4 linked regions of the Elephas maximus indicus genome follow. The protein of the gene in region 3 purifies or fractionates together with the protein of the main gene of each other region. This does not show direct contact. Links are inferred from orthologs where the notes say so. Each region holds a gene or a part of one and is shown on either strand. Other genes may lie near its edges.

What was found.
Region 1: the proteins of CAPZA2 (region 3) and CRACD purify together in Homo sapiens (affinity purification with mass spectrometry; 3 studies listed by BioGRID and IntAct, counting the BioPlex papers as one, with this or other methods). This does not show direct contact. The link is inferred for Elephas maximus indicus from reciprocal best matches to the Homo sapiens genes CAPZA2 and CRACD.
Region 2: the proteins of CAPZA2 (region 3) and SVIL purify together in Homo sapiens (affinity purification with mass spectrometry; 3 studies listed by BioGRID and IntAct, counting the BioPlex papers as one, with this or other methods). This does not show direct contact. The link is inferred for Elephas maximus indicus from reciprocal best matches to the Homo sapiens genes CAPZA2 and SVIL.
Region 4: the proteins of CAPZA2 (region 3) and KIAA1671 purify together in Homo sapiens (affinity purification with mass spectrometry; 3 studies listed by BioGRID and IntAct, counting the BioPlex papers as one, with this or other methods). This does not show direct contact. The link is inferred for Elephas maximus indicus from reciprocal best matches to the Homo sapiens genes CAPZA2 and KIAA1671.

What each region holds. Positions count from the first base shown.
Region 1 is NC_064823.1:105,074,050-105,081,165, forward strand, and holds the start of CRACD (capping protein-inhibiting regulator of actin dynamics), read right to left. Parts: upstream 3,018-7,116; 5' UTR 2,851-3,017; intron 1-2,850. UniProt on the Homo sapiens protein: Involved in epithelial cell integrity by acting on the maintenance of the actin cytoskeleton. Positively regulates the actin polymerization, by inhibiting the interaction of actin-capping proteins with actin.
Region 2 is NC_064822.1:24,550,370-24,558,130, forward strand, and holds the start of SVIL (supervillin), read right to left. Parts: upstream 3,005-7,761; 5' UTR 1,915-3,004; coding exon 1,854-1,914; intron 141-1,853; coding exon 83-140; intron 1-82.
Region 3 is NC_064826.1:32,826,439-32,833,921, reverse strand, and holds the start of CAPZA2 (F-actin-capping protein subunit alpha-2), read left to right. Parts: upstream 1-4,481; 5' UTR 4,482-4,624; coding exon 4,625-4,663; intron 4,664-4,829; exon of another isoform or gene 4,830-5,151; intron 5,152-7,483. UniProt on the Homo sapiens protein: F-actin-capping proteins bind in a Ca(2+)-independent manner to the fast growing ends of actin filaments (barbed end) thereby blocking the exchange of subunits at these ends.
Region 4 is NC_064840.1:31,707,395-31,714,843, forward strand, and holds the start of KIAA1671 (uncharacterized protein KIAA1671 homolog), read right to left. Parts: upstream 3,004-7,449; 5' UTR 1-3,003.

The sequences.
Region 1 (7,116 bases), on a different chromosome or scaffold from region 3:
CCCCACTCTTCATAGAAAGACACCAAACACAATTAAAAAAAAAGGTCACCAAGCTTTCATAAACTATACTGTATTTTTACACAAATAATGTCCACCTTCTGCGTCTGCTTACCAGCCCTGCCCTTCCCGGCATGGTATTTTCCTAAGCACGCTATGCTAATTTTTATTTTATAGCAACACGGGAAGAGGATTGGCATGGCGGCGCTTGTTAAGGGTGCCTCACTGGGGAAGTGTGAGGTTGGCAAACGAACGCAAAGGGCACGCATTATTTTTGTAAAAATACGGCATGTGGAAACACTGCACAATTCTTGGCACACAGGCCTACAATAAATGTTTATTAAACTAAAAAAAAAAAGTGTAAATCAATTCCATATGTATGCATGTTTTATTCATCTATTTTTTATTTTTCATTAATTTATTTTTTTTAACACAACTATTTATTGAGCACCTACTATGTGCCAGATTAGAAATGTGGACTAGAAAAAAAAAAAGTCCTTTACCCTGGAGAATTTCATATTCATTTCAAAGATAAATTTTTCCAATATTGTGTAAGAGAAAACTGTAAACCCCTGCTGCCTTATTCAGCAGTAACAATAACATATTTATCATGTTGTTGTTATTAGGTGCTGTCGAGTCGGTTCCGACTCATAGCGACCCTATGTACAACAGAACAAAACACTGCCCGGTCCTGTGCAATGCTCACAATTGTTGTTATGCTTAAGCCCATTGTTGCAGCCACTGTGTCCATCCATCTTGTTGATGGTCTTCCTCTTTTTTTGCTGACCCTCTACTTGACCAAGCATGATGTCCTTCGCCAGGGACTGGTGATCCCTCCTGATAAGATATTTATAAAGAACTATGCAATAGCTTTTGATTCTCACACCAATCACCTAAGAATGTCAAATAAGCATTATCTTCCTGAGTCCAAAACCAGCGCTCTATAAGTAAGTACTGCTAAGACTTTAGAATGAAAGTTTCTTAATGTTAGATGACTGTAAAAATGAGCTTTTGAAGAAAATACATTTTAAATAATCAGTAGAAAGAGGCAATCCAGTAGCACAACTTCTTCCCTTTACATTTACGAGTTGAAGTACTCTCGGATGCAACCATATCACCTGTATAAGATGCATTTTTTCAAAACGTTTCTTTAAAACACCTACCTTTGAATTTTTTTTCTTACAGGCAATTTTCTGTTAAATATACTGAACTAGGATTCAGTTTTCTCATAAAATAAAAGAGATAGTAGCCAAGGTATCTTCGCTTTGTTGACTTGTTAAAAATACTCAATATTGACAATTGTGCAGGCAGTCCCCAGGTGACAAACATCCGGTTTATGTACAACCTCTATTACGAACCAATCCCTGTAAAGCCTATTAAAAATTCGAGGTACATACAATGGTTCATAATAACAAATGGGTGCTACTTTTCAATGTGCATCAAAATACTATTGTTATTATTACTGTATTATGTTAAAGATGTTTTATTGTATCTGGAAGTGTTCCTTTAATGTTTTTATACATAGAAAGGTACACTGTATACTAAGACAAACAACTGACTAACTGACCTTAGATACAAACCCTCCCTAACTGTTCTGACTTACATAGGAATTAGACTTAAAGACAGATTTAGGAGCAGAACTCCTTTGTAAATCTGGGGACTGCCTATATTCAGATTCCTGAGTCACAATGCCAAATAAATGTTAGCTATTTTATATATAATTCAACAGCTGCTATAAGCGCTTTTTACAGGCGAACATTGATTTAACTGACAACTTAATGAATTGAAAATTTGCTACAGGATATTTACTAAGATCCTTTTATTAAAATTGTCTTATCCTTTGTATCCTAACCACTCCCTCTCCACCACCAACACACACACACACACACACACACACTCCCTCACCTACACCAGATCAGTTTCTGAGCCATTATTCAAAAACCATATTAAAATTTCACAACACATGGTGGTTTCCTACTAGGTTTCCTTTTTCCCCCAGGCCCCCATCAATGGGTTTGTAACTAATGTTCTGTCTTAAAATCCAGAATTCAGAAAATAATTAGGATGCCTCCATTGTAAGAACATCTATTATAAAATTCAAAGGTCTGCCCTTCTGTTTACTGATAACCAAGAATAAAAGCCATGCCTCACCCACCGTATTTGTAGGGTTAGGAGGTCCAATCTCGCCGCTACAGAGCTCTGCAAGAAAGGACGGTTATAGCACCAGGAAAACCATCGCAACAACCCCTGCGAGATGATAAGGAAAACACATTTTACACCACTGGCAACGTGCAGTCTCCGGGCTCCAGTTCTTAGTAAACAGGGAAAACCTTTGTCTTGCTTCAGCCATCAAACTGGTGGCTCATTAGAATTGGGGCAACGAGAGTTGGTGCGAAACGGCTTGGCAGAGGTTAAACAAAGCAATGCAGCTCTGGGGGAAGACAGGGTTGAGCCTGGTCAGCGTCCGAGGTCCCAGACGGCGAGGTCTCCGTCTGCCTCCCGCCGCAGCCGGGAGTCGCGCGGGGGACGCCCGGGACAGGATGCCGAGGCGCGGGAAGGAGAGAGGGAATTACAAGATCCCACGCTCTCAGCAAGTTCCCCGGGCGCAGCCCGACGGCAGGTCCCCTTGCCTGGGATCCAAAGCCGCGCACCCGGCGCGCAGGTCCGCGCCCCCCGCGCGGGTACGCCGCCCCGAGAGTCCACCGCCGGCCGTGCCGAGCCCACGCCCCCAGCGCAAGGTCGGGAATCCCGGGGTGCCGAGGGGGCCCGGCTCGGCGGGTCGCGAGTGGAGAGGAGAAGCCCACCCGCTGTCCCCATTGTCTGGTCCTGGCCCCGGGCCGAGAAGGCGCTCACCTGAGGTGCCCGGGGCGGCTGGGCGGCGACGGGCGGTCCCGGGCCGGCGGCGGACGCGGCTGCACAGCCCGCGGAAGCCGCCGCAGCAGCAGCAGCACCAGCAGCCGCAGTAGCAGCAGCACTAGCAGCAGCGCACTCGCCTCTCAGGCGGCCGCGGCCTCCATTGCTCTCCCCGCCGTCGCCACCGCGCGGCAGTGCGCACCCAGCCGGGCGCGGCGCGGTCACATGCTCCGCCAGCCCCTCCGGCGCTCGGACCCGCAACTCGGCCCCGCCCGGCCTAGTCCCCGGGTCTGTGGGCGCCGCCGCGGGCACTGGACGCCCCGGGTTCCCGCTCCCGCCCTCCGGGAAGGGCGCGCACCGGCCGGCTCCCAGGAGACTGCCGTTCCCGGGGGCGACCAGAAACAAGAAGCGTGCCACAGGGAAGGACGTGGGATTGATTAATTCTCTTCCCACCACTGCAGAGGATGACCTGAGGGAGGATTGGATGTGCCGGGTCTGAGGTCACTGTAGTGGGCTCACAGGGAGGCCGCACCTTGCGTGGGACAAGAACCCGGACCGGCAGTCAGCACTCCACGACATGCGATTTCGGCCCTTGGTACCTGGACTAACTGGGGCAACCTTGGCCCCAGAGGGAGTCTCGCCTTTTGGCGATCCGCGCCCCCCCCCCCCCCCCGGAGAGCTGCCAGCCGTGGAAAATAGCACTGGGACTCCTGTCCAACAAATTGGAAGTTGCCACCCTAAAATAGAAAAGATCGAAATTCCATTGCTGACTCTCTGTACATCTGAACAGAGTGACAGTGACGTTGGACATTATTTTCTCCAGCCATTATGAACTTAAATATTGACGTTAATGTGTTAAAGAAAATAATTGCCATTTCCTTTTGTGAGGTAACGGGAAACATTGAGAATTTTTCTCTATATTTTTTGCTATGACTAGTTCGTTGGAGTTCTTGGAAATCAGTTTCTGATGGTCTTTTTGTTCACTGTGAATGCAAAGATGTCTTTAGGAGTAATTTATTGTCATTATTAAACAGGAAGCTTAAAACATTAAAAACTCTGGTAATGTTGAAAGATAAACCTCATACTCCGTTGAGTCAGATGTCCAAATGCCTAAAACAGGGTAAAATTTTTATGCAAATATATGACTTAGAAGAAGAATCATTCATACTGGGAGAATCTAGGGCATTTTGCCTTTCTAACTGGGGTTTTCTAGATAAACATTTTAATTAAATACCAGCATAAAATACGACTGTATTTTTGTGAATATGAGTGTCATTCCATTTATCGGTGCTTACTTAGGAGACGGAATTGACTGGAAGGGCACTGGGTTTGGTTTGGTTTGGTACTTATTTCAAACGATGTCTGCTAAAGTCCAAATAATAATAAGTTTTATAAATACCAGTAAATTCATTGCCATCCAGTCGATTCTGATTTATAGTGACCCTACAGGATAGAGTAGAGCTGTTCTATAGGGTTTCCAAGGCTGTAATCTTCACCGAAGCAGACTGCCACGCCTTCCTCTTGCAGAGCGGCTGGTGGGTTCCAGTAACTGACCTTTTGGTTAGCAGCGGAGCGCTTAACCACTGGGACACCAGGGAGGGTTCCTTACCTTATAAATAGTTGAGCAAATACCTTTTCCTCTGATCCAGTAGCACTAAAAGTTCCTAGAAACCAAGAATAACGAAGGTCTTTTTCTTGATACAGTCTTGCCAATTACATGAAAGTCCACTCTGTAAAAATTCAAACATATATAAATCAAGTGTAGGTCTATTCTTGTTTTATTTTGCAGAGCAAAATTTATACATCCTTAAGATATTGGAAGGGTTCTGGAGAACTTAGAGCATTCTAACTACTGGACCTTGTGTCTTATACCTGTTAAACCCATTGCCATCTAGTCAATTCTGACTCATAGCAGCCCTATCGGACAGAGTAGAACTGTCGGGTTTCCAAGGCAGTAATCTTTACGGAAGCAGACTGCCACATCTTTCTCCTGAAGAGTGACTGGTGGGTTTGAACCACTGACCTGTCAGTTAGTAGCCAAGCACTTAACCACTGCACCACCAGGGATCCTAATAGGTCTTGTGTGTCTTATAGATGTCAGAAATCAGAAGCTATCAGCCACCACTCTTCACAGCTGTTGTTGTTTCATTCACTTTTCAAACATACTGCTCCACAGCTACTACACACAGGACTGTAATAACAGTGTGGTACCCCACCCAAATATCAGTCTACTATTCCACTTCTTTGATACCTAACTCCACCACCTGTCTATGTCGGTTTGTCATACTGTGGTGACTTGCATGTTGTTACAGTGCTGGAAGCTATGCCATCAGTATTTTAAATACCAGCAGGGTCATTCATTCATGGTGGACTGGTTTCAGCAGAGCTTTCAGACTAAGATAGACTAGGAAGAAAGACCTGGTGACCTACTTTTGAAAATTAGCAACAAAAACCCTATGGATCACAACAGAATATTGTCTGACATAGATCTGGAAGATGAGCACCCCTTGGTTAGAAGGCACTACACAAGGGCTGCAGCAGTGGACTCGAACATGCCAGTGATCATGAAGACGGCAAAGTACCAGGCAACATAATGTTATCCATAGGGTTGTCACAAGTCAGAGCTAACTTGACAGCAACTAACAACAAAAATAGCTAACTACCTTTCAGTTAAGACATAGATTTTCAGAGATTGCAGTACAATGCAAAATGTCATAGATTGAATTATGTCCCCCCCAAAAATGTGTGTATCAACTTGGTTAGGCCATGATTCCCAGTAGTGCGTGGTTGTCCTCCATTTTGTGGTTGTAGTTTTATGTTAAGAGGATTAGAGTGGGATTGTAACACTACCCTTACCCAGGCCACATCCCTGTTCCAATGTAAAGGGAGTTTCCCTGGGGTGTGGCCTGCACCACCTTTTATCTCTCAAGAGATAAAAAGGAAAGGGAAGCAAGCAGAGAGTGGGGGACCTCATACCACCAAGAACGCAGCACCAGGAGCAGAGTGTGTCCTTTGGACCTGGGGTCCCTGTGCCTGAGGAGCTCCTCAACCAGGGGAAGATTGAGGACAAGGACCTTTCTCCACAGCCGACAGAGAGAGAAAGCCATCCCCTGGAGCTGACACCCTGAATTTGACCTTTTAACCTACTAGACTGTGGGAGAATAAATTTCTCTTTGTTAAAACAATCCACTTGTGATATTTCTGTTATGGCAGCACTAGATGACTAAGACGCAAAAGAAAGATGCTATTTGACAGAACATTAGGAATTTTAAAAATACTTAAGCATTTAACTGCTGTGTTAAGGATTATAGTAAGTTTGTGGGAAATTATATAGTCAAACCAGTGGTTCTGTGTGTGATTTTGTCCCCTAGGAGAGATTTGTCAGTGTCTGGAGACATTTTCAGTTGTCACAACTGGCAGAAGAGGAGGAAGGGGGTTACTGGCGTCTAGTGGGAGAAGACAGAGATGCTAATAAACATCCTACAATGCACAAGAGTCCACCACAACAAAGAAAAGAATTGTCTGCCCCAAAATGCCAATAGTGGCAAGGTTGATAAACCCTAAGTTAGACCAATGAGTACCAAAGCCTTTTCATTCTATAGTCTACCATGTCTGCACATCATCCCTTTCCCATGTCCGCACATCATCCCTTTCCCTGGGCATACATACAGAATTCTCTTACTATTCAGAGAAAAAATATAACAGTAAAATCTTTAGCGACCCTATAGGACAGAATAGAGCTGCCCCATAGGGTTTACAAGGAGCTGCTGGTGGATTCAAACTGCCAACCTTTTGGTTAGCAGCTGAGCCCTTAACACTGCGCCACCAGGGCTCCATTTTGCTAGGAAGAGAGGCTAAGGAACTGAGTTAGAAACAAAGCAATTGTACAAATAAAGGTCATATAGGTAACAAAGACAAAAAAGATAGGAAAAGCTAAAGTAGTAAAAATATTGTGCTGTCAGAACTATCTTAAGTGTTCTTGCAATTTCTTCTGAGCGCTTTGTGTCTTCCCAACAGCCTTGATCTTCGAAGTGAAAAGATTGAAGTAGACAGACCATAGTTTAGAAACTTTACATTTAAAAAACCCATTGCTGTCAAGTTGATTCTGACTCCTGGCAACCCGGTAGAACTGCCCCATAAAAATAGGGTGGCATAAATTAGAAATTTCCTATTCACACCCGCCCCTGCCCCCACAGTGAATGGGCTGCTGTGAATGTTTGGAGTCCAAAATGAGTTAAAAACAAAACAAAACAAAAAACCTCAGTT
Region 2 (7,761 bases), on a different chromosome or scaffold from region 3:
GAATTAGGAATTTAAGAGGCTAATCTGAAAAGCTATTACAAATCTTCAAAACTTAAGATTCCTTGAGCAAAGGCCACTTTACCTTGGAGCTTTTCTTTGAGGTGGGAATCCAATGAAGCTTAAGTTTTTGTTGTTGAAATCTAAGGGAAGAGAAATAACGTGACATTGAAATAGTTACACAGTAAGGAAAATAAATACAAAAGTAAATAAAAGCTCCAATGGGAAAAAACAATTTTTCAAAATTCCTTTTGACATAAAATTTAAGATAACGGAAACTGCTAAGCAGGCAAGAAATATGCATACAAAAACGACCCCTTCTAAGAATCAAATTTCACATCAAAATTCTGCATAGTCAAGTTTTCTTTTCGTTTCTTTCCTCCTGAAAAGTAGCCAACAGACTCCATACTCTGACATAGTTCAATGCTATCATCTACATTGGTTATAGTAACAAGGATGATTCAAAGTGACTAAACACTGGATCATCTAGCTATGGGCTCAGAAAAAAAAATGCAGCAAAAGATGAAATAATTTTGGTCAAGGTAAACAGAAATGTTGAAAATAATCACCGCCTGAGAGCTCTGAGGTATTTTAAAGAATAAAGGTGGGGGAGAGGGGTGTGGAGAACAGGTCATGCTTAGCGGCGCCTTCTATTGTTTTCATTAACATCTAAAGGACACCACCACATCAAATTAGCCACTTAGTTGTTTGTTTCTGAAGACAAGACATATATTATGTAAGGTCAGTTGGTAACAATTCCATACAGGGAAAACATACATCCTGAGTGAAGGGGTTAATCAAAACCAGGCACAGGCAAAATTCATAACCAGTCTAATGGTAAGTCATCTGTTTTATGGCTCTTGGCACAAAACCCCTGGTCCACCAGGAAAACCACAAGCAGACCACTTACAGAAACTTCCTCCCTTAAGGAAGTCCCTTTCACTGTTTAATATTTGAGGGCAGAAGTCTGAGGAAAAAAGAGGTACACAATACGTCAGATGCTGACACTTCATTACCCATCGACTCACATCCTTAATTATGGAATTTGGAAACTCTAGCTACTACAGAAATGCAATAGAAATGAAAGGTGGAATGTCAACTAAACATCTAGGCTTTTCTCCTAATTATACAACTATCTCATTATATATTTTAGAAAAGGGGACTTGTAGTTCCAAAAGCTATCAACTGTTGTAGAATAAAATTGCGAATTTAAGGTCTGAACTGTTCAACTCACTTCCCAATGGTGCATTTGTGCTCAAAAACACTTTTGCTCTACCATGGGCTGAATTTCAAATTGGATATCCAAAATAGCCTCAGCATTTCATTTTTGTTCAATCAGGGAACTGAATATGCGATACCACTTCAGTAGTTAAATTGAAAGGATACATTTTCCTTTGTGCTCAAAAGGAAGGCACTAAAACGACAGTATTTTCTTCCAAACTGTCTCCCATGAAGATTTAATAAAAAGACAGAACACTCACCACTGCCTACTGGAAATAATTTAGGATACACAGCATCTGCTTTAGAAAAACATTGTAGCTAGAGAGCAACATAGCCAGAACTTGATCCAAAGTTTGGGCATTCCAACTTAACTTGCCATTTTTCCTACATAAAAGCTTGAGTGGTTTAGCAATATCTTTAACTTAAAACAGAAAAAAAAAAAAAAAAGAAACTCACATTTTCAACACCCGAAAGACAAAGGTACTTTATAAAACCAATTAGCTATTTGAAGTGTCCTTTGAGAAAACAATATAACTATAGGGACAGAGAAAAATACAAGGTAAAGAGTAGGAGCCAAGGATTCATTATGTTCTAAAATAAATATACAAGTGCATCTTGTATCTCTCTGGCCTTACCTTGTTTCTCAGAGAACTTGAAAGCTCCCAAATAACTGGAAATCCCTGGGCTTCTGAACATGGCTGCACACAGAAAGGTTCAGTAGCAGACCCAGCTCTACAGCTGATCCTCAACCAGCCACGGCCTCAGGCCTGTCTAAGCAAAGCTGGGCTGAGATTTTTCAGTGCAGGCAGGGCTGAGCTATCAGGCTCTGGTGTCCTTGAGAACACACTCAGCGCACAGCAGAAGACTGCAGGCTGCAACAGCTCAGACCCGTAATCAGATTACAAGCAGAAATTAGGCCTATGGATGCCGGAACGGACAGGGCTCCAGCAACTGGACCTTTATAATATTACTACCTCAAAGCCACAGATAAATCACAGCTTATGTTCCAGCTAAGTAGACAATGCTAAGTAACCATCCTCGGGGGAGTCAAACACAACTCCTCCTTTCCCTAAAAATAAACAGGCAAACAAACACAAACAAAGACTCTGGAGATATGGGGGAGAGGAGAAGCCAACTAACTGTTTCCAGGCTGCTCCACGCCTGGCTTTGGCTAATATCGTTAAGTGAAGTATTTTACCTAACAGGGAGCCAAAACCCATAATTAAGAGTTAAGATTTATGAACAACATATGAGCGAAATTGTGGGAAAAGAAAAGGCAGCTATCACTAGAAATTCAAACGCTTTAACTTGAGACAGAAGCTGTGAAGCATTATATACTAGACAGTGCCCTGTTAGCTTTTAACGGCAACGTGTACCTGGTGGGCCCACGCAGCGATACTGCATTGCCAAGAAAAATTTGCCATCATTACAGACTGACAGTTTTATAGGTAAAAGGGACATTAAAGAACCCACAGAAATCGTCTCATTTACAAGATAAGGGGAACAGAGAGCTAAAGAAATTACTTGCTTATGGGTAGACAAGTTGTTACTGATAGAACCATCTGTTCTTGTGGAGGTGGGTTCAAGATTGTGATTCGCCCTCTACCCCACCCAGAGACAGAGACCACGGTTTGGTCATCTTTGTATGTTTAGTACTGAACACTATGCCTGGTGCACAGCAGGCCCTCAGTAAATGTTTGCTGAATGACAATATGAAATCATGGAATGAACTTTTCTAAAAGCTAGAGATTGCATTCTTAAGTGACGTTATTAGTTTTAGATTATGCTTTCATACCTTTTTTTTTCATACCAGATCGACTTAAATTGATTTCCAAAATACAAACTTAGACTGAAAATGGAGAATTATATGCTAAATTAATTAAGGTAATAAACATACAGTAGGCCAACACGGGTTACTATGAGGGTCAGTGGTAGCATTTGGCTATTTTTCTATATGGCTGGAACCAGGGATATCATTGCTGATATCAGATGGACCCTGGTTGAAAGCAGAGAATACCAGAAGGATGTTTACCTGTGTTTTATTGACTATGCAAAGGCATTTGACTGTGTGGATCATAACAAATTATGGGTAACATTGCGAAGAACGGGAATTCCAGAACACTAAATTGTGCTCGTGCGGAACCTTTATATAGATCAAGAGGCAGGTTCGGGCAAGGGGATACTGCATGGTTTAAAGTCAGGAAAGGAGTGCGTTGGGGCTGTATCCTTTCACCATACCTATTCAATCTGTATGCTGAGCAAATAATCCAAGAAGGGGGACTATATGAAGAAGAACAGGGCATCAGGATTGGAAGAAGACTCATTAACAACCTGCATTATGCAGATGATACAACCTTGCTTGCTGAAAGTGAAGAGGACTTGAAGCACTTACTAACGAAGATCAAAGACCACAGCCTTCAGTATGGATTACACCTCAACATAAAGAAAACAAAAATCTTCACAAGTGGACCAATAACCAACATCATGATAAACGGAGAAAAGACTGAAGTTGTCAAGGATTTCATTTTACTTGGGTCCACGATCAAGACCCATGGAAGCAGCAGTCAAGAAATCAAAAGACGCATTGCACTGGGCAAATCTGCTGCAAAGGACCTCTTCAAAGTGTTGAAAAGCAAAGATGTCACCCTGAAGACTAAGGTGCACCTGACCCAAGCCATGATATTTTCAATCGAATTTTTTTTTTCAGATGCATGCGAAAGCTGGACAACGAATAAGGAAGACCGAAGAAGAATTGACACCTTTGAATTGTGGTGTTGGTGAAGGATATTGAATATACCGTGGACTGTCAAAAGAACAAATAAATCTGTCTTGGAACAAGTACAACCAGAATGTTCCCTAGAAGCGAGGATGGCAAGGCTATGTTGTACATAGTTTGGACATGTTTCAGGGGGGATCAGTCCCTGGAGAAGGACATCATGCTTGGTAAAGCACAGGGGCAGCGGGAAAGAGGAAGACCCTCAAAGAGATGGTTTGACACAGTGGCTGCAACAATGGGCTCAAGCATAACAATGATTGTGAGCATGGCACAGGACCGGGCAGCGTTTCATTCTGTGGTACACAGGGTCACCATGGGTCAGAATCGACTCGATGGCACCTAACAACAACAACTATATGGCTGATTAGTTGAACTCTTATAAGAAGGGAAGAAAAGATGGCAAATAGGGCAGTAAAAAAAAAAAAAAAAAAACTCAGCAAAAAACAATGTATCATGGATAACTGTAGTAGCAATTTTATTGTAGGATCATGGCTAAATGGGAACAAAAAGGGAGAAAAGGAGGTTGTTGGGAGACAGCCCTATAGCCTACACTGGCCTAATTGGTAAAGGCCTAACTATTGGGTACGCTCTGACACTGAGAGGGGTGCTTAGGCTAGCTACTGGATGCTTTTCCCAAACCTTATATGATTTCTGGCAACGCTGGTGGCATAGTGGTTAAGTGCTACAGCTGCTAACCAAAGGGTCGGCAGTTCGAATCCTCCAGGCACTCTTTGGAAACTCTTTGGGGCAGTTCTACTCTGTCCTATAGAGTTCTACTCTGTTCTATAGGGTCGCTATAAGGCGGAATCGACTCAACAGCACTGGGTTTGGTTTGTTTTTTTTAATATGATTTCTGGGTCTAATTATCCCAGGCATGAGTAGCTAAGACCTATCCAAAGATTTAAGGCAAGGACAGAAGTCAGTGTGCCAACTGGGAGGTGGATACAAGAAAGCAACTGATACTCTAAGGTTCTTCCTTCCGTTCCCAAGGCTCCCACCTCACTGGAGAAGGACAGGACATGGATATTACTATGCAACATTGTAGACTGTGTGAAACAATGGCTCAATGGCTCTACTTCTAGAAATGTACCCAAGGAAATTACTATGAGGGAGTACAAAAATGTTTATCACAGTTTTATTTATAAATGTATAAATCTGGAACTAATCTAAATAAGGGGATATAATAGTGGGATGCATAAAGAAATTACACAATAAAAGCAGGTTTTGAATTCAATTAGTGATTTGGATTTTTTTCATGTTATATTAGATACACAGACACCCCTAGTCAGAAAGAGTAAATGGGCCAAAATATTAATCTGTTCACAGCTCAGAGGTAACTCTGTTCACGTTTGCCATCTCTATTCTCTAAGTTTCCACAACATACATGAATTAGTTCTACAGTTACCAAAACAATTAAGTACAAATGAAGATGAAGGCAATTGGACCTCTTAAAATTCTCAAGGCTTAGGCTTGGGGACACATACTAAGAGAAACACTGCTGTGAATGGATTTGCATCCGCAGAGCTGTAGCACAATGTCAACCTGCCTGCTGCTTCCACACATGTGCATCTTCTTGGCTATAAATCAAGACGTTGACCCAGACAACCACTGATGTCCCTGATAATATCAAATACAGTCTTTCTCAAACTCAGCACCAGGTGGGCCATAATGCATGGAAGAGCCTGGACCACCTCACCTTGCTAACAACACTGAACTCACCTGTTAAAACGCTTTTATACATTTTCTTCCCTCTCAATATTTCTTTATTAACAATCAAACTTTTCCCGACAAAAAATCTCCACTGTCTCCTAGCTAAGGAGCCCTGGTGGTGCAGTGGTTAAACTCTTGGCTGCTGGCTGAAAGGTCGGTGGTTCGAACCCACAAGCTGCTTCATGGGGAGAAAAACGTGGAATCAGCTTCTGCAAAGATCACAGCCTTGGAAATCCTACGGGGGAGCTCTACTCTGTATGATAGGGTCTCTAGGAGTTGGAATTGACTTGATGGCAGGCAACAGGTTTGGTTTTGGTTTGGTTTCGTAGCTAAAGGATTATAAAAACTCGAAGGGCAAGACCTAAAACACACTCCCTGTGTGTATTCTGCAGACTGCCTTGCACAGTGCATTGATCAGAGCAAGTAAGCTACAAATATTGATGGATTCATTCAACTAATCAAGAGACCAGCAATGAAACCACTTCTATTCTTCCTCATTCTTAGATGAGTAGCCAACTCTATTTCCTAACTAGGTGGCATCAAGGAAAATTGTCACCACTCTTTCCTCACCTTGATACTCCTACTAAAGTAGTCTTATTGTTCCTAAAATGTGACGTGATGATGTGGAACATATATATTTGTGTGCAGGGAGAAGCAGGAAGAAGATATTAAGGATTTGCTGAGTAAAAACAGGGAAGATGAGTCCTGTAGTCCAAATGTGGACAATGTTGGTGGGAGTCCAGGTGAGAATGATTACCTCAACTGTCACGGTCAAAAGACAAGGCATTAGATCACAAAGGATCATGGTATTAAGCTCAGTTCACAGCTGTGGCTCCAGATGACATGGAGGCTGTATGGAGTAGTGATATCCTGTCAGTTGTTCTGTCTGACAACACTTCATCTGCCCCTGCAACACATGTGGCAGCTCTATTTTAGCAGTCAGCATGGTAAAGAAAATGGAAGTGAAGCAAATGAAAAGGCAAAAAGCTGAGTACCCCAATTGGCAACTAGCCATTGTCTATCACACCTGGTGTAAAGACGTAAAGAATACAGATAAGCCCCGCCTACCTGTCCCAGTGTTCACCAGGTGGCAGCATGATACCAAATGCTCTAAACTCATTTCCAGTTGCCCTCGAGTTGACTCCAACTCAAGGCGACCTCTTATGTGCCAGAGTACAGCCGTACTCCACAGGGCTCTCAATGACTGATTTTTCAGAAGTAGATCACCAGGCCTTTCTTCCGAGGCACTCATGAGTAGATTTGAACCACCATCCTTTCCATTAGCAGCCAAGTGCATTAACTGAGTGCACCACCCAGGGGCTCCACTGAGGGCATTAAGCTCATCTGACCCTCTCAAAAGCCTGAGAGGGAGCCTATAACCATTCCTATTTGCAGACGAGGAAACTGAGATACAGAGTGATGGAGAATAAATACTGAAGCCTAGATGGACTAGTTAAAATGTATATTTAAAGGCCCTTGGTACCGGTGTGTGCCAGCAAAACAACCATTCACTGGTCAGCACAAACATCACCAAAGAGGTCGCTATGAAGGTGAGGTCAGGACTAAATGAGAGGATGGACATGGAAGCGCTCTGGAAAAAGGAGCACATTACTTAAGCCACACACTGAGCTGCATATTGAAAGGAGATACAGGTGTAGCACACACTCTGCAGAGGCGTGGGTAACGTCACCCTGTGCCCCTGTTAGAGCTGAGCAGCCGGTGAAGCACTCCCAGTCTACCGGAAATGAGCTGACGTTGAAATGGGCAATACATGGCAGAGTGAAATTATGACCAGCAACAGTTTGAAAGCATCCAGTCTGTGAGTTACTGATACATTTCTAAAACCAAAAAAAAAAAAAAAAAATTACCACAGAAATGACTTTAATGAAATCAACTACAGATTGCCAGAGTGAAATTCCGAAGTGACGGATATATTTTTATAGCCTAGGAAAGGAGTATTTTATATGCAAGAAACAGCCATAAATGGTATTCTCATTTTCTTGGATGGATTTTATTTATGTACGCAGATCCTTAATCTGGGGCAAAACTGCACGACA
Region 3 (7,483 bases):
TACTCTAATTCTCCTTTGCCATGTAACCTAACATATTCACAGGTTCCTGGAATTAGGACATAGACATCTTTGGGAGATCACTATTCTGCTTACAATCGTGAAAGGAAGGAACTGTTTTGACTCCAGAATAACACCAATTGGATTCAGCCCACATCCACTCTCCTAGGGAGAAAAACTGATGGCCAAGATCAAGCCTCTGTAAGAAAATGAGAATAAAAAGTAGAATGTTTTAGAAGACATTTTTTTCCCCCATTCACCTAGTTTCCACTTCCCCTGCTTTTGGCAACACACCTCAACTCAGTTTCCCTTTGGAGAAATACCTGTCCCGCATTCTCAATCTGTGGGGTTTGACTTGAGATAGGCATGGGGCCTAGATCTGGCCAATCACTGTAATTCATTTCTTTGGCCACTGTGAGTGGTTCAAGGGTACATATGACCCAAACTGACCCAGTTAGAGTCAGTTTGGGAGATTTGAGGGAAGTGTTAAGAAAGTGAAGGCCTCTTTTACTAGGGTTGTGGTCTTAAAAAGCTATTCCTGCCTGTGAGTGAAGCCAGTTCAAAAGAAAATACATTTAAATGATGGAGAGAAAACAAGTCCTACAATTAAGCTTGATCCCCAGAATCTAGCCATGCCTGCAATTCCTCTTTGTGAAATTTTTAGTTATGCCACCCAACACATTTTCTCTTCATTCCTTCCTTCCTTTCCTTCCTCCTTCCTCCCTTCCCTCTCACCTTCCCTCCCTCCCTTTTTCCCTTCCTCCTTCCTTCCTTCCATCTTTCCTTCCTTCTTTTCTTTCCTTTGTTTTTGTTTTGGCAATGCAAATTTCTGTCACTTACAACCTAAAAACCTTGACTTAAAAAATTATGACAGAATATAATACAAATGAGAATGGAGGGTACTTTCACCACTTCAGGAAGATGGCTGCTATAATATATTGCAAAATGGAATGACATAGGTGCTTGTCTTACATACAGAAACAGACCCTGCGATGAAGAAAATTTTCCCGGGAGAAACCAGAATAAGGGAACAGACAAACATAAAAGGGTATGGGAAAAAGACAAATAAAGTTGAGATTGGCCTACTTCCTCAGGGGAAATCTGGAATATAAATTATACCTCAGAGGTATCCTGATTTGAGGCTAGGGAACTAGCTTTCCTACTTTAGCACCTGATAGTCATTGCTTAAGAACTGCCCCAGGGGACCTAAGCTCCCAGCTCTGGGTTTAGCAAAGCAGCCCCAGTAACAAGAGAGCAATTCTCCAAAGATTAACTGCAGGTACTGTTAAGTGGGGGCCAAAAGGCTGTGAAGCACAGAAACAGTAAAAGAGATCTGAGGGGATCTGCTACAGCTTGTCCATGAGAAAGAGCTTACAGAAGAAGACTGGAGAAAAAACGAGTGCCCCACCACAGAGCCTGGGACAGTGGCTGGGGATGGTCCAGCACCTACCTGTGATGGATGCAGTTAATGTCACAAGAAGGAGAGGATGTGGTGACATGAGCACTGAGTCATACGTCCTGGGAGGGAGCGCCAGGGGAGATGTCAGAGCTGTAACACTGGGAGAGGTCTGATGAGATAGGAAGTGGCAGAGGTGATATAAGTCGATGTCAGAGGAAGGAGGAAGGCGGCAGAGTAAGCATTTCTGAATGTACATGAATGACTGTGGCACCCCCAAAGACCCAAGAGTAAGGAATTGGGGCAGGTATTCCTGCAATTCTTTGATTAGACCTGAGTTGGAGAAATAATTATTGTAGGTTGGTAGGGCTTGGGGAAACACAGAGGACACACTTCTTGTTCTGCTACATTATAATTACTGAGTGCAAATGAGAGTGACAAGCACTATCAGATATTAAAGGTAAAAAATAAAAGACATCAGATCTGTCTTCTCACTTATTGCCAGCAAATTTGTCCCTTGTGCTGCTTTACCTTTCCAGGTCAAGAGCCTGAATTAAGTTTTCATTCATGCTTCCATAAAGGGAGATTTTTTAAAAAGTCAGACATTAGTCTAAAATTCTCTATCCATGTTGTTTAAAAGACTATTCAAAGAGATTATACTCATTAGTTCATTCCATAAATATTTTTTAATTAGGTACAATATTGCTGTTGCTGTATGCCACTGAGTCAATTCTGACTCATAGCGACCCTACATGACAGAGTAGAGCTGCCCCATAGGGTTTCCTAGGCTGAAATCTTTACAGAGGCAGATCACCAGGTCTTCGTTCCCACAGAGTGGCTGGTAGGTTCAAACCGGCTACCTTTTGGTTAGCAGCCAAAAGCTTGACAATTTAGCCACCAGGGCTCCTTGGTACCACATAAAACCCAAAACTAAACCCGTTGCTGTCGATTCTGACTCATAGCAGCCCTGTAAGACAGAGTAGAGCTGCCCCATAGGGCTTCCAAGGCTGTAATCTTTATAGGACATGGAAACTCTGGTGGCATAGTGGTTAAGTGCTACAGCTGCTAACCAAAGGGTCGGCAGTTCGAATCCGCCAGGCGCGCCTTGGAAACCCTATGGGGCAGTTCTACTCCGTCCTATAGGGTTGCTATGAGTCGGAATCGACTCGAGGGCACTGGGTTTGGTTTTTTTTTTTGAATCTTTATAGGCAGCCGTGGTGACGCAGTGGTTAAGAGCTCAGCCACTCCTTGGAAATCAGTTAATGGTACCACAGGAGGCGGATAAAAAAGAGAAAAAAAGAAATAGTCATGGATTGAAGATGATCCCACATATGTGGGATTAATAAAACCGTGATTCTGTGAAATTAGGTAGACTCTGACCTTGGCAAACTTAAAATCTCATGAAGGATGCAGAGCACATCCACAAGAAAACAGGTAAGAAGTGCGCATGGGACTTCAAAACAAGCATTATAGAAGAAAAAACTTGAAAGAAAGAGGGAGACAGAGAGAGAGAAAGAAAGAAAGAAAAGATCAGGTTCTGGTGCAGTTAACCGTAAAGGCCAAAGTCACACCACTAATAAGTAGAAGGTAGGTGAGTTTGGAAATTAAATAAGAAAAGGGTAGCAAGTTCTCACTTAGTAAGTAAATCGTATGTGAGAGAAATACTTTGTTCTTTTTCTCTTTATCATTAAACAACTGATTATCCAGAATACCAGTATATCTCTCCCTGCAGTCACATAATGGTCATCCCGTATTTAGACCAGTTTTACACGACTGCTTAAAATCTTCCCCAATTCCTAGGTTATGTGAATTTTATTCCTTTTAACTGTATCAAGAGGGTGATATTGGGAAGTTACTGAAAGGATTATCAGGAATTAGACAAAACTGCTGGTTGTGTCATCATGGGAAGCCACATGTAAACTATCACCAAGGTTACGACTGTAAACATGCTCGGACAAACTGTTGCAAACCATTACCAGATTTGGATGAGGTTTCCAGAGGAAGAGGACAACCAGCTAAACAAGCAACAAATCAAGCAACATTTACTGAGTACTTGTTTGTACAGATTATTGCTAGGAGGTGTTGCTAAATAAAACTAGAAAGAAAAGAAACCCCAGAAGTACTGTTGATGTGGCAGGTGGTGGTGAACAGAACTGATGGGAGAGGTGAGTAATCACCTCACCAAGTTCCGTTTGGGGGAGAGTGCTCAGACCTTAGGGAGAGAAAGAAAGATCTTACAGTGGAAAGAACGTGGGATATGGAATAAAATACCTGGGTTCCAATCCCAGCTTTGTCACTTAGGAGCTGTGCAACTTGGATACATTAGTTTTTTCTTCGAAAAACAGTTCTAACAATATTGATGAACACCTTACTTCGATTCTGACTCATAGCTACCGGGGTAAAAAAAAAAAAAGGGGGGGGCAGGAGGGCCATATTTAGCAAATAAAAAGAAAAGACGTCCAGTAAAATTTGAATTTCAGAAAATAATTTTTATAAGTATGTTTTAAGTGCTTCAAAGGATATACTGAAAATATTTATTCTTTATCTGAAATTCAAAGTTTACTGGAAGTCCCGTATTTAATCTGGCAATCCTGTTGAGGAGCATAGGGTCCATGTCGTCCGTAACTTTATACAGTGCATCCCCCAACTGCTCAATTTGTTTAATGACCAATGTATATACCCAGAGACTAACCCAGTGCCTGGCACACAATGAAGGCCCAATAAAGGGCAATCTTCCAATTATGGATTGGGTTGTGTGCGCGTATTACAATTAACGCTGCATGTTTTTTCTAATGCTTAGGGGAAAAAACCGAATGCTTAAAAGCGTCCATTCGTGCAGTTTTTCACACTTTAGCTGGTAGAGTTCAGCACTTGATAGGAAAATATTCAAGGGCTCGGAACGTACTCGTTGCAAGATGGACCCATAGGGTTACCGGTGGAGAGAGAATCTTATGCCCACGACGCTGACCAGCCTGCGGCAGGCGGCGGTAGGCGCTGACTCCTTCCCCCCTCCCCGGGCAGGCTTCCGGGATTTCCGCGCAGGCGCACAAAGCGCTCCGGCCCGGCGGGCCAGGCTGAGGGAGGCGGAGCTCCCGGGGCGCGTGCGCGGCGGCACGGACGCCCTTCCCTCAGCGGGGGCGCGCGGCGCGAAGGACTCACGGAAAGGGGGAAGTCAGGTGGCCGCTGCCGCCGCCGCCGCCGCCGCCGCCGCGATTTGTCGCCAGAAGAAAGATGGCGGATCTGGAGGAGCAGTTGTCTGATGAGGAGAAGGTAAGAGCCGTGGGGGCGGCGGAGCCTGTCCGTCGGAAGCCAGCACAGCCCCGGCGTTATCAGTCCAGTGTCTGGCCGCCCAGGAGGGGCATTGGCCGTCGCCTGTGCCCTGGGCTGCCCTTCCTTCCCCCTTTCCTCGCTGCGCCCTAGTGCCTGCCTCTGTCAGTCACCGGAGGCCCCGTGCGGGCGGCAGGATCCAGCCAGGCCTGCTTGCTCCGCTCCTTGTAGGGTGTGTGCTTCTAAAATAGGAAGCCGGAGCCGGCGGCTGCGACACCCGGCGCGGCGGGCGGGCGGGCGGGGGCGGGAGGAGGGCGGCGCCGCGGGACCTCGTCTTCGCCGGGGACCTTCTCCTGCCGCAGGGACCCTCTCTCTCCGCCGGGGCCCTGCGGGCGAGGGTGAGGGCCGTGCGCCCAGGTCTGGTGACTGCCAAGGGGTCTGTGTCCAGGCCTGGGAGCGGCTGACGGGCAGTGCCCAGCCGAGGGGCTGGCCTGAGAGTGAAGCCGGGATGAGAAGGAAGGGGAAAAAATCGCCTAGAAAGCAGATCTTCTACTTCTCGCTTCTCCTCCCCCCTTCCAGAAGCAAAATGCTTCCTTTTCTAGTTCTCTATGATTTTTTCTTTTCCCCGGTGGAGGTCTTTCCTTTCTTTTTTTGGTTTTAGCTGTAGGCTTTGCACCTCCCCTGTTCCTGAGAGGCTGCAGAGTTGCTCACATAATGACTTCGACACCCCCCCCCCCATAGTCGTTTCCTGCCCAGGTTGGCAGCAGCCCCCCAGGGAGCCGATTTGGTGGCGTCCCATCTTTCTACTAGGACTTCTGCCGAAGGGAGAGTGGATTGTGCAGCTCCTTTTACTGTATCTTAGATGCTGTGACAACGGTGGAACCAGATGAACAACTAAATTCTTAAACATTTAAAATAAGAAATCTGATCATTGAACTAGTTCTCTCTTACTCGTCGTTCCTTTGGCTACTGTGAGGCCTCATTCCTCAGTGGGAGGGTGGGGGACACTAATTTTGAGTATTCCCGGGAAAGGACCTTGACGTTTCTCAAACTCAGAAGTAACTGACGTAACATGTGAGTAACATGAATAAGGTGATTATAGTGTTCAGAAAGCCCACTTTTAATTTAACAGTGCCTCGTTTTTTAAGTTCCAATGCAGTACCGTGTAATAAAGATAAGTAGTTACATTATGGTGTTTAAAAAATCCTAACGTCAACCTAGGGATATTTTCAGTTGGAAACTCTGTGCTCCAAGTGTTTTTATATCCTTTTTTTTTTGTGTTGTACTGAAATGTAATGCTTTATCTCCCTACCCATTTGAATGAGCAGAAGCCAACCTCATCTTCATTTTTGGAAATCTTTTTTTTCTCTGTGCTCTTTGGTAGAAGCGATAGTAAAACAACAAAATGGGAAGAACTACAAGATTCTTTATAATCCACAGACGGGGTAGTTGCTGTGCAGTATTCTCGTGTGTTTTTGGTAAATAATCGTGAGCTGGTAACTGAAAGTGTATATGCATGCACACACACATTTAAAATTAAGTCATGTTAAAACGTTTTTAGAGAGATTGTCATGTTTTTATTTTACTGGGCTTAACTGGTGGTGATTAGTATCTGAAGTGGCTAGAAATCTAGCTGAGGAGAGAGTAACGCTGCAGGAGTTAATATAGGCCTGCCATGTGTTGTAAAGGCCTAAAATAGCAAAGTTATTTTTTTTTAATGAGATAAGATTCTTTATTACTTCGGGGCACTAAGCTCCATAGAGGGTGGGGTCTTATTCTCTAATCTTGCCTAGCACAATGTTTTATGACTAAATGAATGAAAATTTTAATTTAAAGGAATTTGGTGTTTTAGTTTTGGGTTTTTTTTTTTTTGTAATTTTTTATTTTAGTTTTGTAAGAATATTCTTTTGGTATTCTGTATATAGATTTCTAATTTGAGAAAAACACTGACTAAACTTATTTACTAATTTGAGAAAAACAGCAAACTTTTGGGTTAAATTTAAATAACTAGTTAAGTAAAATTTTAAACTGTCACGTCATGTTATCTGAATGTTCTTTTAATCTTTTTGGAAGAGGATGTTGGTATAGGATCAGAAATGGAGAGAATTTAAAGGTGGTATTTTTTAACTAATAGCTAAATCATGTTACTCTTCTGCCACCTTGTTTGCAGTTTTCAAAAATATACTTTTAAACTTTGGGATTTTTCATATTGATTGCAGATCTAAGGAAGGGAGGTTGTTAAGATTTATATAGAAATGTACTATATGCCGGGCTCGGTTAGACGGTACGTACATCTCTTAATTTGTTGTAAGTTTGAGGTGGGTAGTTTTATTGTTGCCATTTCACAGATAAGTCAAGTCAGGTTTCAAAAGCTTTACCTCACCCAAGGACACATAGGTAGGAAGTGGCAAAGGTGGTATTTGTACCTGAGTTTGGGTTCATGCTTTTGTGGCTTTACTCCACCTCAGACAGGTGATGATAGAAACCTCTTCTGGGTTTGTCTCTTGTTTTAAATTTGTTGACAGCTTATTTTGAAAAAGGAGAAACAATGGCTGTTTTTGTTTTTAGTAAAAATTGTAAATGCCAAACATTAAATAGTGTTGGGTTCTAAACTTAATTTGCACTTTGATCATTTTAGAACAAAGTTTATTATTGTTTAACACTTTTAAAAGTTCTGTGTGACTGGAAATTCAAAAGACAGAAAATTTATTTCTGCCTAGACATCAGTAGGGGTTCAAGCTCGTGCCAGAGAACACAACATAGGAAGAAAAACAGGAAAGTGGGAATGAGCAGGGAGTGTGAGTTATGTATACAATGAATTCA
Region 4 (7,449 bases), on a different chromosome or scaffold from region 3:
AAGAGCCTCAGAAGAAAGGCCTGGAAATCTCCTTCCAAAAGGTCACAACCACTGAAAACCTTACAGAGCACAGTTCTGCTCTGCACACGTGGGGGGCCATTAGTAGGAATTGACTTGATAGCAACTAACAACAGCAGCAGCAGCAGTATGTCCTCAAACACCTCTGCAGGGCCTTGCACGGGCTGCGCCTGCTCTCTGGAACACCCCTCTCGCTCACACACACACAGGCCCACCATGGGAGAAAGATGTGGTTGTCTGCTTCCATAAAGATTACACCCTTGGAAACTCTATGGGGCAGTTCTACTCTGTCTTATAGGGTTGCTGTGAGTCGGAATCAACTTGATGGCAATGGGTTGGCTTCCTTGGATCTGCCTTAGGGGCCATCCCACAGGGAAGGGCAAGACGAGAGAGAAGAGAAAGCAAGGTTCTTGGTAGGCACTTCTCTTTACCAGAGTAGTGCCTCTGTTGTCTGTAATCTGTTTAATATCCTGTGCTTCCTCGCCAGTTTTAATTTTAAATGCCTGGCAAATGCCTGATATGTCAATATGGTTTGATGAATGGTGCGGTGAATTAATTAATACATCAATGAACGAAGGTAAAAGAGTTTCTAAGCTATGATAGTGGATGGCTAAATAATATTTTCAAGTCCTTCCCAAACCCAGAAGCCCTCGATTCTCCGATTTTTACTTAACCTGTTGTAAAAGGCAACCAATTTAAATATAGGCTTTAAACCTCACTTTAAATGGATCACATATGCTATGCTTGATTTAAGAGACGTGGGTCTCTTCCAAAACATTTCAGAAGCCCAGGCACACAGAGGCCAGCTGCTTGCTATTCCTGGGGTAGCCTCATTCACTCTTTCTAAATTAGCTGAGCACTATGTCTGAAGCCATGGGCCCTAGGTGGCACAAATGGTTTGCAGTTGGTTGGTAACCGAACAGTTGGTGGTTCAAACCCACCCAGCAGTGCTATGAAAGAAAGGCCTGGCAATCTGCTCCCATAAAGATTACAGACAAGAAACTGCTATGGAACAGTTCTGCTCTGTAACACACGGGGTCACCACAGATTGGAACCAAACCGATGGCACTGACGGCACAACAACATGGCCAAAGCAAGGTAAACAAGAGCTCCCTGGGACTGGCTGAAGAAAGAAGGGAAACTGATCTGAGCAATCTCTAATTGTATTATTTTTTAACATTTATTACGGAGGTCAGCAATGGGCAGCAGACAGGAAGCAAGGTGTCCACCTGGAAGGCCAGGAAGCCGTAGCGGACATCAGTAAAGAACGAGACTACATCAGTCTGACCTCAAGCAGTGACAGTAGCAATGGGTCTTTCTCTGCTGCTGCTGAACCCGCCAAGTCCTCAAGCTCGATCTCCCTAAATTGATTTGTAAACTTTGAAATTCCCATTTCCTGCAATTTCATGCAGAGAAAACCATTTTCCTGGGAAGGGAGTCGCCAAGAGCAACAGTTACTGAAATCAGACAGGAGACATTTGAAAGTATTCACCTGTCCATCCTTCCAATGCTCCTTCCACAAACACGGATTGCCTACCTGTCAAATGCCAGGTTGGGTGCTGGGTGCTGAGGGCAACAGCCACGGAGCTCACAGTCTCCTAGGAAATCCGAGAGGCCCACAGAGGTAGAAGGCAAGGGAAGCACTTCCATTCAAAACCTAGCAGTCTGGCAGCTTTTCTCCCAGACTGGGAGGCTTTGATTCATTCGAACAGCTGCTGACGATCTTTCATAATTACAGCCTTAGATCCGATCTGGGCGCTCGGCAACCATTCACTCAGTCATCTCCGGGTACCATACCCTGGGAATGCCACCATCTGGTGATGGGTGTGGGCCTATCCTGACACCTTCCAGCACCTTCTGGAATGTGACCTCAGCCCTTAAATCTGCAAATCTATCCCGTGGGGTGCACTGTGTGAAGGGGCAAGAGTGGACAGGCAAAACCCATGTGCTTGTCCTTCTACAAGAGCAGGGCTGCAGTACACGCGTATGGTCTGTCCGCCCAGCGGCCACAGATGGGTCTAAACAGAAGCACATCTATGAAAAGTAGGCCTACGGCAATTAGTTTTAAATTGCTGAATGATCTCTCACAGCTGGCAGTAGAAACCGTGAAGGCCAAATTAAACTGCTCACTGGCGCTTCCCCTTCAAGTGGAGCCCAAGGCATATGCCATACCTGCCATCCTTTAGATATGACTCTGCTGCCCCGCCACCCTGCCACTCATGGGAAGTGCCCCACCGAAATGTCAAATGCTGTTGGAGTGCATCCTCTCTGTCCCCATGGCAGTGGTCCTAGGTCATTTCTTCATTTCTTCATTCATTCCAATACACAATTATTGAGTACCTACTATATACTACTATGTGCTTTGTATTCTATCTATCTACTATGGCTCTGAGCCAGGCTCTGGAGTCCCACTTTCTGTATTCTGAGACACAACTAAATCTTCTACATCCTTCATGATTCCTTATAAACAGCTGGTGCTCAAAAAGGTTTGCTGAGAGACTAAATGAAATTCCTTTGCCGGCAGGAGAAGTGGTGAGAGCCAAGTTTCTTCCTGAGTTTTAATACTTCTGTTAAGAATTGCCTTAATTAGCATAGTCTTGATTTCAGCACAGCACAAACCGTTTGCACCCGACTGCTAACCAAACGGATGGTGGTTTAAACCCATTCAGCAGCACGGCAGAAGAAAGGTCTGGCGATCTGCTTCTGTAAAGATTTTAAAAAAGAACCCATTGCCGTCCAGTTGATTTCAACACATAGCAACCCTGCAGGAGAGGGTGGGACTGCCCCATAGGGTTTCCAAGGCTGTAAATCTCTACAGAAGTAGACTGACACATGTTTATCCCTCAGAGCGGCTAATGGGTTTGAACCGGCAACCTTTCAGTTAGCAGCCGAGTGCTTAACCACTGCACCACCGGGGCTTCTCCTGTCAAGATTACAGCCACTGAAAACCCTATGGAGCACAGTTCTACTCTGTAACACATGGGGTCGCCATGAGGCAGAATCGATTCAACCGCAAAGGCTTTTTTTTTTTTTTTTTTGGTTTTTAATTTCAGGTAAACGGCCTCCTCATTCAAGCTCAGCACACCTCTGACATTTCAGACTTCTAGAATCCACAGGGACAGCTGGAGGTGGCTTTTCCCCAAGGAAAAAGAGGTGGGTAGGTCACATTCACACCCACAAATGGGTCCTATGGTTAAGAGATTTGGGGGAACACTGGGTTCAACAGGTGCTTTTTAAACAAGATTTTTGCATTTTAGAAATGCCAAAGCAAAATCCAGATTGCTTCGGCCCAATGCCCTTTTCCCAGGTGCAACCACCCATTTGGAAGAGGAAGGTGACAACATTATCTTTTTGCCAAGATCTCTTTAAACATCCGCCTTTTCAGTTTTCATTGGTGTGCCCCTTCCTACTGTTTATGCTGTTTTTGAACTGGCTGGAGCACTCACTAAGAAAATCAAGCTGCTTTTTTGTTACTGTTTTTTTCTAGATCAGGGATTGGCAAACTGTGGCCCACAGGCCAAATCTGGCCCATTTCCTATTTTTGTAAATGAAGTTTTATTGAAACACAGCCTCACTCATTTATTTGTGCACTGTCTGTGGCTGCTTTCAAGGTACTACAACAGGGTTGAGCATTTGTGACAGTGACCATACGACCCATAAAGCCTAAAATACTTATTTATAATAAAAAGCCTAAAGTATTTATAATAAAAATTAGTTTTTCTCTGGCAGATAATTACAGAAAAGTTTGCCGACCCTGGTGCTAAGTTGTGGAGAACTCAGTTGCCTAAGAGACTAGACTTCCTCAAGGACGTGACAGCCCCCTTTTTATCTAAAATCAGTTGTCGTAGAGTTGATTCTGACTCACAGCAATTCCATGTATGTCAGAGTAGAACTGTGCTCCATAGTGTTTTCAATGGCTGATTTTTCTGAAGTAGATTGCCAGGCCTTTCTTCTGAGGTACCTTGGTGGACTCGAACCACCAACCTTCTGGTTAGCAGCCAACTGTGTTAACCATTTACACTACCCAGGGACTCCTATGCATCCAAAGCCCTTACAGTATTCTGGCTGAGACCCACCCCTTCACTGCTGTTGTTGTGTGCCATCAAGTCACTTCCGACTCACAACGAAACTATAGGACAGAGTAGAACTGACCCCTAGGGTTTCCTACGCTGTAATATTTGCAGCAGATTTTCAGGTCTCTTCTGCAGAGGAAACCCTGGTGGCGTAGTGGTTAAGTGCTACGGCTGCTAACCAAACGGTCAGCAGTTCGAATCCACCAGGCACTCCTTGGAAATTCTATGGGGGCAGTTCTACTCTGTCCTATAGGATCGCTATGAGTTGGAATTGACTCAACGGCACTGGGTTTGGTTTTGGTTTTTGGTCTCCTGCAGATAGGATGGTGGGTTCGAACTGCCAACGTTTAGGTTGGCATCCAAGTGCTTAACCATTGAGCCACCAGGACTCCACCCCTTCACTAAACAACAACAACAAAAAACCCTTTGCTTTCATGTTGATTCTGCTCATAGCGACTCTGTAGCTTCACTAGGCCTCTTCAATTGCCCTACATGGTAAGTACAAAAAAATTTTAAAATACAGAAATACATATGAACAAAAGTTTTTTTAATAACCCTAAATCCCACCATCCAGAGCCAACAACCACTATTACCATTCTGATATATGTCAACCGGGACATCTGCCAATGTAAATGGGAACTTTCTGCCAAAACTAAAATAGAATTAGACCATATACTCTTTTTATTTTATTTTTAAATATATATCATGAACATCCTTCATGTCAATAGCTATACAACAGACTCTAATGCTTATATAGGACTCTACACTGACTCTTCGCTAACTGACTATCTTGTTATCTGACATTTTGCATTTCCAATAGTAAAAAATCTACTATCTATTTTGTGCATCAACAATGTATGTCTGGCAGTAACGAACACCAAGGTATGAAGCAAGAGTAATGCTGGGTATGAGGGTTAAGGTTATGTGTCGGCTTGGCTGGGCCATGATTCTCAGTGGCTTGGCAGTTATGTAATGATGAAATTTGGCAGTTATGTAATGATATAGTCATCCTCCATTTTCATATAACGTTGGTTTCCACTTAACAACCTGGTCTTTTGAACCTAACTAAAACTGTCAATAAGTGAAGAAAAAAAAAAATTAAGCGAGGAGTGGGTATATTAGAGACAATTGCATAGGAAGGTGGCCTGTTGGCGCAACTGTTAAGCACTCAGCTGCTAACCAAAGGGTTGTCAGTTCGAACCCCCCCAGCAGCTCCACAGGAGAAAGTCCTGGGAGATCTACTCCCGTAAAGATTATAGCCTAGAAAACCCTATGCGGCAGTTCTACTCTGTCACATGGGGTCACTATGAGTTGGAATTGACCCAATGGCACCTAACAACGACATCAATTACACAAATCACCTACCCTCTAGTACAGGATCAGGGCCCTGATGATGCAGTAGTTAAGAGCTACGGCTGCTAAACAAAAGGTGAAAAAAAAAAGTAGGCAGCTCAAATCCACCAGCCGCTCCTTGGAAACCCTCTGGGGCAGTTCTACTTTGTCCCATAGGGTCATTATGAGTCGGAATCAAATGGATGGCAACGAATTTGGGTTTTTTTTGTTTGTTTGTTTTAGTACTGGATCTTTAAATTGTTCTGAATTATTCACCATTATAACCAACACTGCAGTGAACATCCACATGTAATTATTTTCTCAAGATAAACATTGCCTAGAAGTGAGCTCGCTGGTTCAAGGGTGTACAACTTTTTAAAAAGTTTTTGTTATATCCCGAATGGACCTTTGCACCTAAAGGAAGCACGTCCCATGCTGACTCAACTCAAAGCTTCGGAGGCCAGAGTTCTCAACCTCTCCCCTGGGGCAGACCCAATAAAGGTGTCTCGTGAGCAATAAACCAGGACACTTGGCTGGCCTTGTCTTCCCTTGAAACTTTACTGGCCCTGGTTTATGGCATGATCATAATAAACTTGACCACAAGGCTTCCAAGGCCAATTAGAGTAGCTCACAGAAAGAGTAAGTTTGGGGCCAGCCCAGAGTCCCTGGACAGGTCTGGCGTTGGAAGAGCGAGCCAGAAGGAAGACCAGCCAGGAACTGATGTTCACTGCAGGTGGAACTCAACCCCTAAACTCAATTCAACACACAGTCTGTAAGCACCTGCTGTATGCCAGGTACAATGCTTGGCTCAGTAACAGGTGAATACAACATGCTCTCCCTTTAGGGAGTCTAAAAAGGGCATATTGCATTCCAGAAAGAAATAATTCCCTTCAAGTGCAAATGAATTTCTGAAGGAATTAGCTTCTGTTGGCCCAAGAACTGCCTTATGTGCAGAGCTCAAAGCCTGTCTCATCACATCACTCCCCACCTCTAAAACCATCAATGGCTCCCATTGCCCATTGCCTTGGACAAGGTATCCAAGTCCTCTCTCCCCCAAAACCTAATCCTGGTCTACACGGTAGGCCCTGAACACACACCCAATTTCCCAAATGGGTCCCAGGATTTTAGTGTGTTTTTCATCCTGTTTCTTCTTTGTGGGTAGCCCTTTGCCCACACCACAATTTCCATATGCCCAAATCCCACCCATCCTTATAAAAAAAAAAAAACTTACCATCATATAGATTCTGACTCATGGAGACCCCATATGTGTCAAAGTAGGACCCTGCTCCTTACGGTCTCCAATGGCTAATTTTTCAGAAGTAGATCACCAGACCTTTCTTCTATAGTACCTCTGGGTGGACTTGAACCTTCAACCTTTCGGTTAGCAGTCAAGCGCTTAAACGTTTGCCACACCCAGGAACATACCTATCCTTTTAGGACAGCTTAAATGTCACCTTCTCCAGGAAGCATATGCTGATTTTCCAGCCCAAAGTGACGTCCAACCTTCCTCAGCAATTTACCCGATCATAACACCGTGTATGAGATATGAGCCCAAGTGTCTTCCCATTGCAAGATTTACAGCCCTGCCCCCATCCTATCCAAGGCATAAACCCCTCCTCTCTGAGTTTCCCTTCACAGAACCTACTCACACCTGGCACAGACAAGGCAGATTGGGATAGTGCTGGATTCCTCTGATGTGGGAGGCAGCCCATGTGGGACACAGGATGGTGTTAGGTAACCGTGAGGATGCCTTGATATCCAGGCTCAGCCTTGAATGACATTGGGTGCAGCTGTTTTCTTTCTCATTCTCATGGGAGTCTTCTGTTGACGTCCCAAGACAGTCTTGGCTTGGTGCTTCTTTGCCTTTAACACCTACATCTCCATTACCTGCTCACCTCCAAATTTAAGAGAGAGAAAACAGTCTCAAGCTTAGACCACTAGTCACAACAGTAGCAGCAGTAATAGATTTTAAAAATATTCATTGTATTTAATCTTACTGTTATTTTCTATTTAAGGCAAGTGACAC